Xenopus tropicalis: one gene and its partners. The protein of the gene in region 1 purifies or fractionates together with the protein of each later gene. This does not show direct contact. Links are inferred from orthologs where the notes say so. Each region holds a gene or a part of one and is shown in the gene's direction. Other genes may lie near its edges.

Region 1 (3,659 bases):
TAGGTCCCACACCATCCATAAAAAGCCTTCTGATCCATTTTGCACATTTCTATTGAAATGGAGAGTCATTGAGGGCCATCTATTCTGTGGCTCTGCCCTTACACCACTGCCTAATAACAAAACACACACCAGTTATATTTGTCCTGGGAATATAGTTATTATTGTTGCAGTTTGATATCAGCTCTGGTTTGTTTGCCTATCTTTAATTGGTTATCTAACCAAAGCTCCACCCAGTCTATTCTCATTGGAGTTTTAAGTACTGCTTATTAATGACCAAAAACCCCAGCAATAGGAAATCACAGGTACAATTTAAAAAGAATATTTATTTGAATGCACTGACTTAATGGACATATATATATACATTGCAAACCTTATGGTGCTGCCACCGGTAACTGTGTTGCTTTCTTTCCTCTAAGGTCATTAATGCTGGATCGAGTCTGGTTCCGGCTGCAAAGCTTCAGATATCGTTGCCTAACACATTCTCACCAAATGGCGTGAAACTGTTAGATATTTTGGCTGTAAAGGTATGTTAAGCGCATGTGTAGGTACGTTTCCTTGACCCACTCTGTCTTCTTCTATCTAGTCATGTCAGTGGGTACTCAACCAATTGTGTGTTACAATGAATGCTAGTACAACACACAAGGGTTAATAAGGGTTCTCAAGAGAAGGATAGTTAGGGGGTGATTTATCTACAGTCGAGGTTGATTTTTCTTCTCGGGTCGAGTTATTTTCCGCTTCAAAATCTCAAATTGGAGTTATGGTTGGAAAACTGGAATGTCAGGTATTTCCTGAGTACAAAAACCCAGAAAACTTGAATGTAAAAATTTGCCATGTAAAAGCTTGCGAGCTTCTATAGATATTATTAACTCTAATTTTTTGGAGTTTTTAAAGCTTGTAACTCAAAATATTCAAGGTTTTTGTGCCAATGAGTTTTTCTTATTAATAAATAAGCGACCATTCAATATGTGAGTCCACTACAAAAAACAACAAACAAATATAAAAGTGTTTATGCCCTTTGAATGGTGCAAACTCTAATGTTATTAATCCCACCCTAGGACTGTTAGTGGGTTGTGCACTTTATTTATCCCCCAACACAGCAGTTTGGGTTTCAGTGGTAAATAAAAACCCTCCCCTTCATTCATTACCTCTTACCCCATACCAAAGTGTGTCCTGGCATCTCTGTAGATGTTCTACTGCTGATCTGGCTGACTACTTTGAAACTCAAATAAAATGTAACAGTAGTCAACTGTCCTCAGTCTGCCTTCAGCCTGCATCCTCCCAATTCCACAATTCCATGCACATCAGTGTTTTAGTCCCTCCTCCCCTGCCAGGATTTCAAATGATACAGAAAGAGAAGAACTGTTTTGCAGCAGGATTTCAGCATAGAAAAATGGTATTTATTCATACTTTTAGAAGGAACGGATTACACTAGGGGTTTCTGTGTTGTTTGGGGCTCTTTAATAAGTTTTGGTTCGGAAGCCAGAGTTCCCCTTTAAAAGCTTATTTATCATTTTCAAATTTGCTAAATTTAGAGGCTTTTTTCCAATTTTGCTAAACTTATATGTTTGCTTATTTATTAAAAATTTCAAATATAATAAACTTAGTTGAATTTAACCATAAAAATAAATCAAAGGCATCAAATTCTACCCATAATTTTCAATGTTTTTTTTTTTTTACAAACTGAAAAAACTTGAATTGAACCACATAAATTTTGCCCAGAAACAACTCCCACTGACTTCTGCCGCGTGTGGCTGCACTGAAGCGGATTCATTATTTTTCAGTGCAGAAACATGGGTGTCACTCAGCCTGACGGTAAAACCCAGGGCCAAGAGAAAGGGATCCACGCTTGTGACCTGGCCCTTAGTCCATTTACTACATTTACTAAAAAAATGAATGAATGCTCTTGCAAATAGGGAAAATAATTCAGTTTAGCTGCCAACTGCAGTGTAGTTTCATCTAAAATTCTACTTATTCCTTGCAGACAACCGTTGGTGAATGCTATTTTGACAACTACACAAGGGGCTGCGAAACACCCAAAAACACTCGCTCAAAAGTTGGTGATCTATTTGCATTTTTTTCCAGGCCGGACAAAAGATGGCTGGTGAGTATTAAAGCACAACTCTATGAACATTTACCTGTTTTTTTAAAAAGGGATTTAAATCCAAAAAATAAATTAATTTGAACTTACTGTAATTTACATTCATTTTCTCTTTCTGGTGTTTTCAAGCATATTAACATTGTAAGACTGCTGCCCAGGCCTGTACAAGCGCATGAATAAAGGCTAAAATGGGAAGCAAACAAAAAGAAAAAAGAAGTGTGCTAGATCATTGGCATATATATACAAAATGCGGCATACACAAGGTGTTTTCCACCCAAAAAGTAACTAGAATAGCAAAAGAACAAAAGTTTTTGTGTTTGTGCCTTTAAGAATTAACATTTATTTCATACGATTAAATTAATCGTATGAAATAAAAGTTAATTCTTAAAGGCACAAACACAAAAACTTTTGTTCTTTTGCTATTCTAAAATGGGAAGCATTACAGATATGTAACAGAATGTCTGCTTGTTTCCCCAGTACTGCATGAAAGATGATCCTTCTTGCATTCAAATTCTGTGCCTGTTTGGGGACATGGAACGGGAAAGTAAAGCCACTGTGGAAGTACAGCTTGAGATCAGTCATTCATATTTAGAAACAGTAAGTATATATGTACCAAAAGTTCCTTGTATGTAGGCACTCACATTCCCTACATCTGAATCCTATAGAAATAACTGGGATTCTTTTAAATCTCAAAATGAATCCTGGATTCGGTGCATCCCTAAAGTCAGCATTAATACATACAGTATATAGCTTTAGCCCAACACTATTCTTCTCATTCTGTTTGCCAAGCCTGTTCCCAGATATTGTTCTTGCTTTCACTAATACAATTTGTATTGCCTTCTTGTTGTTACTGTAGGATGAAGCCACGCTAATACAGTTTTTCACAACAGCTCAAGCAGGCTTTGAAGATAGCCCTAAGATCATCAACCTTAACCAGGATCATCATGCATATGTAAGAACAAATCAACAGCCTTCTCTAAAGATGTTATAATTGCTTACAAATCCTGCCTTGGGAGCCTCTGGCCCCATAATTCTGCTGTATCACAACATAAACCAACAGACGGGGGTGGGGGTGTTCGGAAATAACCATTGGAGTGGTCAGAAGTACTAATTACAAAGAGCAAACAATGCACTTTTGGTTTGAACATATGATAATGTGTCGAGTTAAATCCAGGGCTGGCAGTAAGGATAAACAAAGGCACAGCTTGTGGGGGGCACAATTTTTTGGATCGATCATCCTCCCAATCGAGGATGATAAAGGAAGGTGAGAGATAGCAAATAACCAGCTGGAGGAGGAAAGTGATGGGTAGGGTTTGGTAGTAAGAGGCCAAGCTACCCCTCTGGGAGGTGTATGTCACAGGGGGGTTGGTGCAAGCAGACATGAGGCTAATGAGACGCTGGGCAGCAATACTACTTGGCCTGGCTATGTTGCATTCCCTTAAACTTGCCATAGTTTGGGGGGGTAAGTTTTTTCTGTGCTCAAAAGAATAATTCAAGTGCTGAAAGGACCTCAGACCTTTATAATCAGCCCCAAAGAATATTCATTCAATCTTCTTTGCAT
Region 2 (3,659 bases), on another chromosome or scaffold:
TTGTTTCGCCGCCCCATATAGATAGCTCACACATTTATTTTACTCTGGCTTGAAATTCTGCACCTTTGAGCAGTGTCATGTTTTAGTGGCTTAAATCGGTTGTTCACCTTTAATTTTACTTTTAGTATTATGTAGAGCAATGTTGTCCAACTTATAACATGTAGCAGGCTATTTATCTCATACAGCACAATTCAATTCAAATGATGTCATATAGTGAAGTCAATGGGGTGTTTGAGCAGACTGGGGGATATAAAGATCCTTTGAAGGGCCACGGCCGGCCTGCGGGCCTCCAGTTAGACTGCGCTGATGTAGAGAGTGCTTTTTGAGAGAATTTGCAACTGGACTTCATATTTATTTGCAGTTTTTTGAATTATTTAGCTTTTTGTTCAGCAGCTCTCCAGTTTAGAATTTCAGAAGGTATTTGGTTGCTAGGATCCAATTTAACCTGGCAACCATGTAGTGCTTTAAAAGAGAGACAGGAACATAAAGGAGGAACAGTTTTTTTTTTTTTTGTTTTTTTTTTTACTACTAGGGTCAGGAAAGGCAAATAATTTAACAAGCACCTCTGTTTTGCGCAGAATTTTACAGATCTCCACATTCACAGTGGACAAAGCAAATGAAACGTAGATTACAAAAAAAGCACCATATAGTGATATATATTCTACATGTACTTATGTATTACAAATCCCAGAATAGGAAACCACGTTATGTGACGATTAACATTTTCTGTTTAATGTTTTTCTTAAAGGAGCAAATTGGTTGGAGAAATGTCACACGCTTGCTGGTCTTCTCAACTGACGCAGGATTCCATTTTGCCGGAGATGGAAAATTAGGCGGCATTGTATTGCCAAATGATGGCAAATGTCATTTGCATGGGAACATGTACACAATGAGCCACTATTATGTACGTATCTTGTATTGCCCACGTTACCGTTTTACTCAATAACTTTCTTCACAATTACTGTTTTCTACATAATTGTAATGATTATTCGGTAATCTACAGGTGTGTTTTTTGTTTTTGTTTTGTTTTTTACGTTCAGTGTATTATTGAAAATACTGTAGATACGAATTGTATTTTTGGGTGTTCATTTGTTTTGTTTTGTTATTTTTAAGGACTATCCCTCAATTGCTCACCTAGTTCAGAAACTTAGTGAAAACAACATTCAGACCATTTTTGCTGTTACAGAGGATTTCCAGCCAGTCTACCAGGTATTTATATTTGTTTATGTCTATGGTATATACACATGAATAGTAATAATAATTACTTGAGTTTAAGAGGAAAAAAATAGGTCTGGGAGACAAAAACAAGACTGGAGGGGCGAAAGATCAGAGGCAGAAGGGAAAAGTGCAAGGGTCAGAGAAGGATGGGAGTTTTGGAGAAGGGGGGCAGAAAGAGAAGGGAATAGCAGAGAAAGAATAGAACAAAAAAGTGAACAGAGTAGGTTTGGTGGTAAGTAGTGCTGCTATGGAAGAAATTTCTACTGGGGTGGTCAGCTAAATGCTGCCATATATGACTCTTAACATCAAAGGTATTTTCAAGACGCTGCTGTATGATTGCTAGTAACTGCCATTGTTTTGTCCTTTTCTGTTGAGCAACGGAAAACGGACAGTGGAATGTTAACTTTAATACATTAATGGCTCTGTAACATTATCCATATTTGTGTTTTTTTGACAGGAGCTGAAAAATCTGATACCAAAATCAGCTGTGGGAACCTTGTCCTCAAATTCCAGCAATGTGATTCAACTGATTATTGACTCCTATAATGTAAGTATCTGCCAGAAGTATCCATACCCCTGACGGCACTTTTGGTTTTATAGTTTTGTTCATTACTGTTTCATAGCTCTCTGTTCATTTCTATTGGAATCCAAAATAATCCTAAGTGATCTTTTTGTTTCCAGTCTCTTTCCTCTGAACTTATTTTGGAAAACAGCAAATTGCCAGAGGGTGTAACAATCAGCTATAAATCATTCTGTAAGAATGGAGTCAAGGGAACTGGGGAGGATGGAAGGAAATGTTCAAACATTTCTATTGGAGATCAGGTGAGTTCCCAACACATTTAGGCCTATGAAACCCCCTTGATTTGGACTATAGTAAACCTATTTGCTTGTTTCATGCAAGCAATCCCTGCTTATCAGCATAGGCATCCCTTTTTCCTATTCAAACAAATGTGAAGCAGCTGCTTGCAGGAAAGGTTGTTTGGGTTAAAAATCATGCAATGTCCACCAAAGTGGATGTGCGGTGCAGTACATAATGTGTCCAAGTAAGTGGATACTAACAGAGTTGCTTTCTTACAGGTGGAATTTGAAATTAGTGTGACAGCTCACAAGTGCCCCAAAAAAGGACAAGCGGAATCCATAAAAATCAAACCACTTGGATTTACCGAAGAAGTAGAGATTGTTCTCCAGTTCATCTGTGAATGTGATTGCCAGGAAAAAGGGACGCCCAACAGCCCTGAATGTCATCATGGAAATGGAACATTCGAATGTGGTGCCTGCAGGTATTGTGCTTCCTTGCATTTATTGGGCATCAGTGCACTTTAAAGCCCTGGCTTGAAATCCCTCTGTGCATAATGCCTTATTTTTTTAAATGTATATATTGTTAATACATCACATGTCATTTTTAAATTGCCAATTTTATTCATAGTGCAGTGGATATAAATGGCTAATAAATAAGAGTAGTAGAGCTTCAGTTGGTTGAAGTGGCCAAAAGGAATTTGTAAACGTGCCTCTACAACAGGATCTTATCCACAGCCAATCCAGCTCCTCTTTTCAGCTATAAAATAATAAATCGCTATGCTGTTTCCATGACAGATGTAATGAGGGGCGCATTGGGAAGGAGTGTGAATGCAGCACCGATGAAGTAAACAGCGAAGATATGGACGCTTATTGTCGAAGAGAAAATAGCTCTGAAATCTGCAGTAACAACGGGGACTGTATATGCGGCCAGTGTGTGTGCAAAAAACGGGACAATCCCAATGAAGTTTACTCCGGCAAGTACTGTGAATGCGACAACTTCAACTGTGACAGATCCAATGGGCTGATTTGTGGAGGTAAGAATCGATCACATAATTTATATGTTTCAGAGGGCAGAAACACCAGCTGCAGTCTTGCATTCATTCAGTCTCAGTACTTTATTATTAGTCTTTATAGAGTGCTGACTGGTCATGCAGCACTTTATAGCACTTTATGCATCATTCTGATCCGTCCCTGCCCCAGTGGAGCTTACAATCAAAGGTGCTTATCACATTCACACACGAACACTAGGGTCAGTTTTATCAGAATCCAGTTAACCTGCCTGTGTGTTTTAAGCATTCCTTTTGCAAAGCATAAGTAGAACATACAAACTCCTTGCATTCACTGGCAACTGTTGTAAGGGTTACTAAAGATGTTTGAAATTGTAAAATCAAACCATATTTTTGTTACAGGTAAAGGCGTGTGCAAGTGTCGAGTATGTGAATGTTTCCCCAATTACTCCGGCAGTGCTTGTGACTGCTCAGAGGATACCTCCACTTGTATGGCAAAAAATGGCCAGATATGTAACGGGAGAGGAATATGTGACTGTGGAAGGTGTAAATGTACAGATCCTAAATTCCAAGGACCAACCTGTGAACTGTGTCAGACCTGCGTTGGTGTTTGTACGGAGCACAAGTAAGTGACTT
Region 3 (2,877 bases), on another chromosome or scaffold:
TTTGTCTGCATATCTGCAGAGAGGAATGTGCAGTTAGCCGTTTCTAATGCATAAATAAGATAAACATTTAAAGGGGACCTGTCACCCTAATAAATAATTCCAAATTGTTTTCTATTGTGTTTGTCAAGAAAAATCAACTTTATTCACACCATATAAATTATTTAAATCTTGTTTCCTTCAATCCTGGAATTCACAATCACAGCAAGTAGGCAGGTGCCATTTTGGACATTTTGTTATGAAGATAAGCTTTTCATCATGCCAAAATCTTGTGCCAAAATGGGGGACCTGATGCCCATGCACTGGCTACACAATGCACGTATGCCTAGCCCTATATATATATACATAGTGCTGATAGTAGGGGATACTAATAAGTTTTAACAAGATTCTGTTTTAACAATGGCCTGTCTCCTAGAGCAAATAACAGGACATGGTCTAGATTACATGAGCTCCTGCTGGGCCTTGTAAAGGCACCTAATTACTGTACTGTTTAACACTAATTATTGTACTCAATACCGTTGGTTGTACAATACTTTCTGACATGTATTTTGTTTACTTTTTCAAGCTTTGCAATAAACCTGGGAAAAGATAGTTCAAACTATGTCCTTCACTTTAATCCTCGATTTGACCACCAAGGCGACAACAAGAAAATCATCTGCAACTCAAAGGAAGAAAACTGCTGGGGGAAAGAGCAGAGGGAGACTGCTTTCCCATTCCAACAAGGAGCAGAGACATCGGTAAGCATGAGCATATGATGGTCACATGATTAATGAATATTTCTGTAAAATGGTAGGATTGGCCTCCAATCAAGGCTGTTGGAGTTCAAAATAAAAGTCCAGAATGAAATATGCTATTTGCTGGACACTCTTTGGGATGTGATGCACCCAGGTGGTTCAGAAACCTGTATAAAACACATTTGTTATATGAACTGATCATGTGACTGGTGGATTAAGTGAATGGATTGAGGCCACATTTATGGTGAATAGAATCAGGTTATTCTGAGCATATACAAAATGTGAGAGTGATCCCGTGTCCTGACTATTTTGGACGAGGTGAATGATTCTTTCCTAAATGCAAATGATATATAGCTATCTCTTCCAGAGGGCACCCCTATTAATAGTGTCTTTTTATAATAGAGGGATGAGGGGAGCCAGGTTGAGTGTATTTCTAGTGTAGAATTAGGATGAGCATACTTTATTTCCACTATGTGGGGAATACAAGAGGACATTTACAATGCATAGCCCTTATTTGGCACCTCCAGGTACCTTTTTTATGCTTGTGGTGCTCCCCAACTCTTTTTACATTTGAATGTGGCTCACGGGTTAAAAAGGTTGGGGATCCCTGTTCTAGATACTCCTGAAACCTCAGCCTGGGCTCCCTTTACAGTGAGTTTTGGGATGAACATTTCTTTTATGTTTTAGATATTTGTATCCATCATAATTTTTCATATATATGCAACCTTGTTAGCTAAGGGGGTCCATCCAAATGTTAGACCTTAAACGAGGAAATAAATCCAAAAACGCAAAAAAACACTGCTCTAAGATCTGGTAATATAGCAGCATGAGCGTGTGAAGCATAAGCAAGTAGTTAGAATCAGGGAGAGCCACTGGAATAGCTGTGTAAGGGCCAGAGTAGCACAGGGACTGAGCATTGAGAACATCCCAGTGCTCCTTGTTAAAAGGTTTAACAGCATGAGGAAGAGTATGACAAGATTTGATGATGGATTTATAGTCAGACAAGTTATCCGGCACTGTCTTTCTGAATTAAGTCAGCATATTTGTCTTTATTTGTGTGACTTACAGCAATCATTATCTCTATTTTGACAGATTTGTTTTGAGTATCAAGCAGATCATTTAAAGGTGAAGTTATCCGATGGCCAAGAATTCACCTTCCCCATCCGAATGCCCTTGGATACCATTACATTCCTCTGTATGGATGGAATAGAGCTCAAGTCTTTTTCGCTTCATTAACAGCTCTGCGGCCTCCACAGTCAATAGAAGCCACTAGGCCACATATATAACATGTCATACAGGAAATGTTCTTCGACCCATAATGCACTGTCACTGACAAGCTGTGGGGAGGACTATATAGTTCCTAGTTAGAAAATTTTCTTTCACAAAAGCTACTAAAGCTTTATGTTATCTTATGCAATATATCCTTAGCAGATCTCTCTGTACTTACTATAAACATGAAGTAATAAATCTTTGTTTCATTTATTGTCTGTGCTTGCTCTTGTCTCTTGCTAGTGTTTTCTAAACTCTCCAGGACTGACTATATGCTAAGGTTACCCAATCATGTGAAATACCTGGGACACCTCTAGATATTTCAACTAAAGGGGCTACACTGATTGTTTTTATTTTTAGGCAATTGGTTTGCAATCAGTGCAGCACAGAAAGAGCCTACATTCATTTGTCCCTGGTTTGGTAGTGTCATGATATTTTTCTCACTTAGCACCCTACTGCTCGCTGAGCACCCACAGGCACAGATCTTTGCACTTCAGAATGGAGTGCAAGGACCTGAGTCTTGCTGATGAATACAATGCTCATGAGTTTGGCAGCACTGTATTCAGGAGGGGTGGCACACTGGTGACCTCTATTCAGCCTCCTAATTGCCCCCTAACATCATACATTCAACTACATCATTCAGACATGTTATGAGGTGAATTTGGATGAATGGTGATAGGGAGCTTGCTGCCTGCCTATTTTGGGTGTTTTTGTGCCCTTAAAGGAGACATATTGGATAAATGGGAAAACCCTAATTTTGTAGGCAATTATGAATAATATACGGTGCTGGTTTCACTTTGGGCTAAACATTAACCCTATCTGTAACAATGGCCCCTTTATTGGAGCTCCCTATAGATCCTATCACTTCTCTGTCCGA

What was found.
Region 2: the proteins of itga4 (region 1) and itgb1 purify together in Homo sapiens (co-immunoprecipitation; 4 studies listed by BioGRID and IntAct, with this or other methods). This does not show direct contact. The link is inferred for Xenopus tropicalis from reciprocal best matches to the Homo sapiens genes ITGA4 and ITGB1.
Region 3: the proteins of itga4 (region 1) and lgals1.1 purify together in Homo sapiens (affinity purification with mass spectrometry; 3 studies listed by BioGRID and IntAct, with this or other methods). This does not show direct contact. The link is inferred for Xenopus tropicalis from reciprocal best matches to the Homo sapiens genes ITGA4 and LGALS1.

Annotation. Positions count from the first base shown.
Region 1 is NC_030685.2:62,639,502-62,643,160, reverse strand, and holds part of itga4 (integrin alpha-4), read left to right. Parts: intron 1-416; coding exon 417-524; intron 525-1,981; coding exon 1,982-2,101; intron 2,102-2,575; coding exon 2,576-2,695; intron 2,696-2,954; coding exon 2,955-3,050; intron 3,051-3,659. UniProt on the Homo sapiens protein: Integrins alpha-4/beta-1 (VLA-4) and alpha-4/beta-7 are receptors for fibronectin. They recognize one or more domains within the alternatively spliced CS-1 and CS-5 regions of fibronectin. They are also receptors for VCAM1.
Region 2 is NC_030682.2:22,885,415-22,889,073, forward strand, and holds part of itgb1 (integrin beta-1 precursor), read left to right. Parts: intron 1-748; coding exon 749-904; intron 905-1,113; coding exon 1,114-1,209; intron 1,210-1,675; coding exon 1,676-1,765; intron 1,766-1,899; coding exon 1,900-2,040; intron 2,041-2,295; coding exon 2,296-2,498; intron 2,499-2,811; coding exon 2,812-3,050; intron 3,051-3,425; coding exon 3,426-3,648; intron 3,649-3,659.
Region 3 is NC_030680.2:122,667,106-122,669,982, reverse strand, and holds the end of lgals1.1 (galectin-1), read left to right. Parts: intron 1-562; coding exon 563-734; intron 735-1,823; coding exon 1,824-1,967; 3' UTR 1,968-2,218; downstream 2,219-2,877. UniProt on the Homo sapiens protein: Lectin that binds beta-galactoside and a wide array of complex carbohydrates. Plays a role in regulating apoptosis, cell proliferation and cell differentiation. Inhibits CD45 protein phosphatase activity and therefore the dephosphorylation of Lyn kinase.